Linked DNA regions of Tribolium castaneum. The protein of the gene in region 1 interacts with the protein of each later gene in a pairwise test. Links are inferred from orthologs where the notes say so. Each region holds a gene or a part of one and is shown on either strand. Other genes may lie near its edges.

Region 1 (3,924 bases):
TTTTCCGGTATTTAAAACCGAGAAAACCTGTTTTTCGCGAAGTGAAACGTAGATGGAATGCGATTTTCCACAACCGTCTAAAATGTATTGGGACCAGTATAATTAAGCCAAAGAATGCGGTTTTATGCTCTCTTTATTCGTCACCTATGTGTGTTACAGCCATCACGTAAGTATACATTTTACTGACAACAAAACAGAAAAATTCTAATCAGAATGATTAAAAAAAATTTGCCGCTTCAGTTAAACAAACATAACATTGAAATATCAAAACAACACACTGAAAAAACTATTAAATAAGCATCCAATCAATGGCTGATATGATTTTCATAAAAAATGAGGTAACATCGTTTGTATTTTTTTTTTCAATATATTATTATTACATAGGTACCTCCTACCTGTTTCTTTTCAAATCACAGAGAAAATAACAATATTTGATCATGAATTTAAAAAATTGTAACAAAGATTTACAGAGCAATTTTACTGAACTTGGGATTCTATTGTGTGGGGTGGTTTTTAAGGCAATAATACAACCGAAAGGTGTAAAAAAATTAATTTTATTGTGACTAAATTAGTTGCAAAACACTTGTTAAAGTCAAACTCACAAAAAATTAATCATTTAATTATTACATCACAGGTCGCTGTTATCTTATATTTTTAAGCTTATTCAAAAACAATCAGCAATTAATATTTAACAAATTTTGTAATTGCATTAATTGTAGGGTAGGTAACTAGTAATACTTCGGTTTCTTCTGCTTCTTCCCCTTTCTTCAATTTCCTCTGATGTTTGAATTTTCCAAATGATAGCTCTTAAGAGAGCCCAAAGGTATTTCGAAAAAAGGTTGGGGCTAGTTTTTGGTCAGAAAAAAATATGCAAAATTTTTTTTTCTGTGTTATGTTAGGTTAGTTTTGTGACAGTTTCCAGCGCTTCTCCAATCTACAGGTAGGTTCTTGTACGCATGTGCAAAGTCATTTAGCTTACCTGACAGGTAAGATACGAGTAGCCCACCTGTAAATATAAAACATTTTAATTTCGTTGTGATTAGTGTGAAATGTGCTAATCAATTATTTTTAGTAATGAGTGATAGTGTTGCGACTTGTTGATTCGTATTTACGGTGAGTATGTGGCGGGTAAAGGGCTGATTTAAAAGTCCGTGAGGTAAAAATTTAATAATACTGTTATTGTTACTGTATTCATGCTATTGTGATATGGTCGCCACGATGGCTTTTGCGCCAAACTATTCACACACATATGTGTATTTCACAAGCTTCGTTAATAAATCGAATTTGCCTCATTTAACCCATTATTACTCTCTGCGTCATCACAAGTTGATGAAATCAAGTTTCGGGTTATTACAACTGTTGCGAATTAAAATATTCCCGCGCACTCCACGCCCTTCGTGTCCAAATTTAGTTCGCAACAGCTAGCCCATTAATATTCACAATAAATACATGCAGTTTTGTCCGTAAAAGTACGTCCTGAGGAATTGTTGACATTCCTTGCATTCCAGTATGGCTGAAGGTGTGGCATAAGAGAGGAAATTAATCTCAGTCGAGAATTATTATTAGGGCCCGAATTCCTTCAAAATGACAAATATTTATAAAAACCGCACGATACAATGAGATTAAATCCCGCAGTAGATAAATGTTATCATCAATCAAGCCGTGACAATAATCTCCGCGTTTCCAGATATTGAGTGGCTTAAGTTAAGTTAATATGGCGTACCGCTCGAACGGGTATTCGGGGGATGAAATGGACAGGTACCGGGATGAAGGGGGCGACAAGCCCACCTATCTCATGGAGCACCTGGCCACCTTCACAGTCACCAAAGAAACGGGGATCATGTACCCCGCCGACGGCATGCGGAGGCTGCTCCAGTTGGAAAAAACCAACGGCATTTGGTCGCAAAAAATGCAACTGTGCCTCGACCGCTCCTGGGTCTTAATCATGGATTACGAAACTGGGGTAAATAATCATCTCACGTAAACTCCAACTCTACACAAAAACGTTTAGAGTGTCATGGAGCGCTTCCCGGCCAACTCCATCCAAGAACCGACTGCTTTCACCAGCCATGATCCCATGGAAATGTACAACAATATTCTAGTTTTTAACGTTGCCAATTCTAACCCGGCTCATCCACCAGAAATGCACATTTTTCAGGTGAGCATATCTATCTGGCTCATCTTATCGGGCCCCCCGGCCAACACACTCATTTATTTTCGTCATTTATCTTATCAATCTATGGATTTTTAACAATTATTACTGTTTCCAAAAAACACAAGATAATCAATCAGATGTTACGGCAGCGAAATTAATTTGCGTGGTCGCGATAATCTCTAAATCAGATGAGATTATGGGGCGAATAAAATGAACGAACAAGGAGCATTTGATCGGACATACGGGATAATTGTAATGATTGTAAATACATAACGAGTTTTTTGTATAAGACTTACTTGCGAAATTATTAAATATAGAAAATTCAGTCAGTCAGCAGTACCAATAAAACGCTGGTAGTACAAAACTCTCTACTTTTTTTTAAATTAATGTTTTTTATGAAGGAAATGAAGGCAAGTTTATTGTCTTCGTGTCCCAAACTCGCATAATAATACACAATTTTGATAAGGTATTTCGTCGCACTCCAGCTCGTGGTGCTCTAAAAAATGATGTATTTATTTGTTTTTACGTGGATGTCTAGTGCCAGAGCATATCCGCGCTCGACCTGGTGGAAGACTTGAAGCAGTTGCGAATGGGCAAAACCCTGACTCGAAGCCGCAAAAGCAGCATCCCGCCGCCGTCCCACAAGCCGCCCCCGCACAACGTTATCAACCCGAGCCGCGACCCGCGAGGCGATTACCACGGTTCCGATTCGGAACTGACCGCAAATAACGACGACTCGAGTTCGACAACTAGCGAAAAATACGAACGAGACGTGACCATTTTGAACCATTGCTTCGACGATATCGAAAAGTTTATCGCCCGCTTGCAGCATGCCGCCGCCGCCGCCCGGGAGTTGGAGCGTCGGCGGAGGAGCCGCAAAAGCAAGAAACGCGACATGGGGGACGGCATGTTGACCATGCGGACGAAACCGCCCCCGGAGAAGGAGTTCATCGACATTTTCCAAAAGTTCAAGTTGTCGTTCAATCTCTTGGCCAAGCTCAAGGCGCACATTCACGATCCCAATGCTCCAGAGCTGGTGCATTTCTTGTTCACGCCTTTGGCGTTGATTGTCGAAGCCTCGCATGATACCTATCCCGATTCACAACTTCCCAGAAAAGTTGTCTCCCCGCTGCTGACCAGGGAGGCGGTCAATTTATTGATGAACTGTGTCACCAGCAAGGAGACCGAGCTGTGGCACTCGCTAGGAAACGCCTGGCTTATACCCAGGTAAGGCTATTTTTGACGAAATTGACAAACAATTGGTCAAAATTTCGCGATAAAAATAACTCGCCTATCTATTGTTGAAAGAAGCCGAAATTATTTACAAAGATATTGCCAGAATATCTATTTGAAAAAAAATTTGGACGAAAACTTATTTTAGATATGAATATTTCAATTTTTCAGTAAGAAAGAAACTAGAATGTTTAGCCGAAACCGGCAGAGAATCTTTGGTTGAGATGTCAATTCTTTTGGAACCAACATTTTTCAAGTTATCTTGTTGAAACCTAGCAAAATAACTTATTCTATTCAGCCAGTTACGGCCTAATTTGTACGTTAAAAACAGTTTAAAAAACCGTAAAATTCAAGGCTGGCAACAAGATTTGAATTTCCCGAGCTGCTGTTGCCAGTCAGCTAAATTCGCTAAGAAAATCTCACGCCCCTGAGTAAATTGGGAAAGAGAATCCGTCCGGTGTTAGATTTCCCTTTGTCTTGCAGAGATCAATGGAAGGGTCACGTGGCGCCTTACCACCCGATTTTTATGGACGGTT
Region 2 (3,924 bases), on another chromosome or scaffold:
TATTCGGGTGCTTCCCCCCTTTCATTCGCGGCAAACTGAACTTCTTGCCGCGCGCCGTTAGAGGGCGCTTTGCGTTGATGTGTATTTGGAGTTTGCCGTCTTCGTTAAGTGAGACCGCCACTTTTTTGAGCGTGTTGAGGCCACATTTGGGGCAAAATTTCTTCGTCATGATGCTCGTAGTCTTGAAGCAGGCGTAACAACGCAGGATGTAGGTCCGGAGTTGTTTGATCATGCGGCCGTCAAGGGCGGCCACATTGAGGTTCATCTGTTTGAGGACGTTTTGCATCGCGAAGTCGGTGGTCATGCAGGCGATCTTCACGTGTTTTTCCTCAATGAGCTGGGAGTTGACTTGTTTTTTGGCCTGGGAGACGTTGGAAGGGGTGATCCAGCCACTGTCGTCATCGTCATCTTCGTCGGAATTTGATCCAGAGATGTCGCTAGCGTCGTCAACTGGCACCAGAACGTCATGATCCTCGCTTGTTTCCTCGTCAGCGCATTCAATTGTTTCGAATTTTTGTTGCAATTTCTCAATTTCATCTGTTTCTTCATTTGTTTCTCCTGGTCTATCTTTTATTTTTGTGTGTCCTGGCAGGAAAAACCCTGTTACGTCAGGATGTAAATCGACAGTTGGCCCTGTGGTGGTCACAGTCCTCTGGAAGACGGGTTCAGTACGCAGGTGCTCCACCCCAACCGCTTCCTTCTCCAACTGATACGTAAGAGCCATAACTTGGATATCGGTGGCAGACAGACTTGGGTAATCCCCGGTTTTCTTTGCAAATTCTGTCACAATTTTGATATTTTCCGGAAAAACCTCCTTGACCTGAAGGTCATAAGGCAAAACCACCAAACGTTTGAGCTGTCTTTTGTTCAAAATTTCGTCAACGACACTTTGACATGTGACCATTTTCTCCGCAACGTCCTACAAGCGTAAGGTTATAAAGTGGTAATTACAGACGAGATCACGTACTTGTAATGGGGCGTTTTGGATAAAAGCAGTCGTATCGACAACCAAACACTCAATTTTCTTGTCTCCGGCCCCCATTTTGTTGACACACGTGGAAAAATGACACTTGGATGAGGATGACACTTGTTGCCAACAATACGACCAAAGACCCCAGTTTATTGCCAAAACGGGCTTATTTGTGTAAATAATGCCGTGGTAGGTTTGAGCAAGCCTCAAATTAGTTTACCGGGTCATAATAACACAAACAATTTGCGTAATCTCGCCCAAAATCGTGATCAATGAGTTATTTTACTTTGCTCCGGTTGGCGACATTGTGCGTATTGGAGAATGGAGTGTGTGCTTTACATGGAGGCCAATTTTCGGTCAGTTCGTAAATAACGAGTGTTTGTGTGTGAAAAAACGGTGTGGGGCCCCCGTGACTCTCGATTTGAGGTGTAAAGTGTCCGTCAATCGTGTGTGAAATAATTTGGCTGTTTTCTCTGACGTGTCGGTGATCACACTGTTATCACTTTTACGTCATTACTTGGCTACTCTGTCGGTGAAATTTCATGTTTTTATCAAAATTCAAGCGTTCTATTGTTAAGATTATCACCATTATCATAACGGAGTGAGGCCACCACAAGTAAGTTTTCGTTTCGGTTGTAATGTGTCAAGTTGATGTTTTTGGCCGAAATGCGGTCTCAGCTGATGCTTGGTTTTAGTTATCACCGTCTCGATGAGCAGTTCTAAATGATGGACCCTTCAGCCGATCAGGGGTCCGGCTTCCATCAGCTCGGCATCACAGGTATGTCCCCGAAATCTCCGATAAGGAGCGCAAATATTTGGGCAAAGTCTTAGAGACAACAGTTTCACCTGATTACACAACGTGTGTGGCAAGGTTTTGTTGTTATTTGTTTCTAATAGCGTTCGGCGGTATTGCTAATTGCACAATAGGTAGCTCCTAATTAATTTACTGGACCGATTTGTATTTGTTTATGTTTAGAAAGTGAAAAATGTTGCGATAGTCCGCTACGCCTCGATTATTCTAATTAGAATTAAGAATTGCAGGGGAACAAGTCGGCTATTACGAGAAAGTCGCATTAATTACAGTCTTCATAAATTATGGAACTTGGGATGGCACGTCCCAGAAACACGCGTCATAAAAAGTGTAATTTCCAACATTTAGGATCAATTTTATCGATCCGGCGACAGTTGTGACTAATCCTTTCGATGACAGGACAAAAGTGTCGACACATTTTTCAGGTGCAATTTCACGTGATAATATCACCTATTTGCTTCAAGGACACACAGAGTGGCCAAGTAACCAAATCACCACATTTGAGACTTGTCTCGCATTTTTAAGGCACCGTTTCCTGTTGTTGTTATTATTATGTGACCTACTAAGCATAATATTTTGGTTTTTATCGCGTGATTACCAGTCGTGACATCATTTTGCGACAAAAACTCGGGGGAAATATGAGCAAATTTAATAATCGTACTCATTGGTATTTTTTTATCTTTTATCGCGAGTTGTTTTGTTTGCTTTATTTTATTGTAGGTTTTCCCGAATAACGTGCTTCATTATCTTTAACACCATTATCTTTAAATGTTTGATTATTTTTCATCGAGCTTTGGATAAAAATAAAACAAAACTTTGAACTATTGTCTCCAACATTTTTGAGATTTTTATGTTGCTTGAAACATTCCGTGAAAAATGCAATCCATGTTGCATTTTTATTGGCAAGGTCGAAGTTTACAAACAACCGATAAGCTTTTTGTTATTAAATCGCTACAAAAATGCTATTTTATTTTTCAGTCGAGTGCGCCCACCTCCGTAACAGTTCCTTCATCAAGCCCTCCACGTACGTGGAAATCAGCGTGGACGGTGGCTCCCCCCGGAAGACCGAATGCGTGAAAAACACCGCTCAACCGAAATGGAACGAAACCTTCACCCTCCTCGTCACCCCCCACTCAAAAATAAACTTCGTCGTCTACGACAAGAACAATTTCCGCAAAGACACCCTCGTGGGCGAGAAAAAAGTCGAACTTTTCCAAATGTTGCAGCATTTCAGCGGCCGCTGCGAAAACCTTGAACTCACACTGGATCTCATGAACGAAAACAAGACCGAATCGCCGGCCAAAGTCGGCGAATTAATTTGCGTATTTCAAGGCTTGACCGTCGACATGTCCAAGTTTCACAAGCCGGGGCCGAGTGCGACCCCCCTCATGCAAAACAACTGCGAAGCGCAGAGCGTCTCCAATCGCAGCGTCTTCAACGGAATTCGGGCGAAAGTGCGCAATGTCGGAACGGAGAACGTCGTTCCGACGGCGTCGCGAGCCTCCACGGCCGAGAGGCGCACCTCGCGCACGGCGCTGTCGCCCACCACGCCCATGCCCAACGGCACCATCGGCCCCCCGGCCACGGTGCCCAACGGCAACGCCGTGCACAACAGCGACGGCGAGGACGGGAGGGCCGAGGAGCCGCTGCCCCCCGGCTGGGAGATGCGGTATGACACCTACGGCCGCCGCTACTACGTGGACCACAACACGCGCTCGACGTCGTGGGAGCGCCCCCAACCGTTGCCCCCCGGCTGGGAGATGCGGCGCGACCCCCGCGGGAGGGTCTACTACGTCGACCACAATTCGCGCACCACCACCTGGCAGAGGCCGAATTCGGAGCGGTTGGAGCACTTCCAGCAGTGGCAAGGCCAGAGACAGCACATTGTCCAACAAGGCAACCAAAGGTTTCTCTACCCGCAGTTTCAGCCTGGACCCATGCCTGGCACTTCAGTTGTGGATGATGAGGACGATGGTTTGGGGGCCTTGCCGCCCGGATGGGAGAAGCGAGTGCAACCGGAAGGACGAGTGTATTTCGTTAATCACAAAAATCGGACCACGCAATGGGAGGATCCGAGGACTCAAGGACGGGAGGTTATTGACGATATGCCGTTGCCTCCCGGATGGGAGATCAGGTATACGGA

What was found.
Region 2: the proteins of epidermal growth factor receptor kinase substrate 8-like protein 2 (region 1) and Su(dx) interact in a two-hybrid assay, tested with the Caenorhabditis elegans proteins (2 studies listed by BioGRID). The link is inferred for Tribolium castaneum from reciprocal best matches to the Caenorhabditis elegans genes eps-8 and wwp-1.

The regions. Positions count from the first base shown.
Region 1 is NC_087403.1:4,530,404-4,534,327, forward strand, and holds the start of epidermal growth factor receptor kinase substrate 8-like protein 2, read left to right. Parts: upstream 1-950; 5' UTR 951-1,113; intron 1,114-1,144; exon of another isoform or gene 1,145-1,634; intron 1,635-1,687; 5' UTR 1,688-1,714; coding exon 1,715-1,963; intron 1,964-2,011; coding exon 2,012-2,158; intron 2,159-2,451; exon of another isoform or gene 2,452-2,693; coding exon 2,694-3,382; intron 3,383-3,871; coding exon 3,872-3,924.
Region 2 is NC_087398.1:5,360,838-5,364,761, reverse strand, and holds the start of Su(dx) (E3 ubiquitin-protein ligase Su(dx)), read left to right. Parts: upstream 1-1,279; 5' UTR 1,280-1,586; intron 1,587-1,665; 5' UTR 1,666-1,693; coding exon 1,694-1,748; intron 1,749-2,759; coding exon 2,760-3,924. Other genes in the region: RNA-binding protein NOB1, read right to left, coding at 1-919, 968-1,042. UniProt on the Caenorhabditis elegans protein: E3 ubiquitin-protein ligase which accepts ubiquitin from an E2 ubiquitin-conjugating enzyme in the form of a thioester and then directly transfers the ubiquitin to targeted substrates. Ubiquitinates klf-1.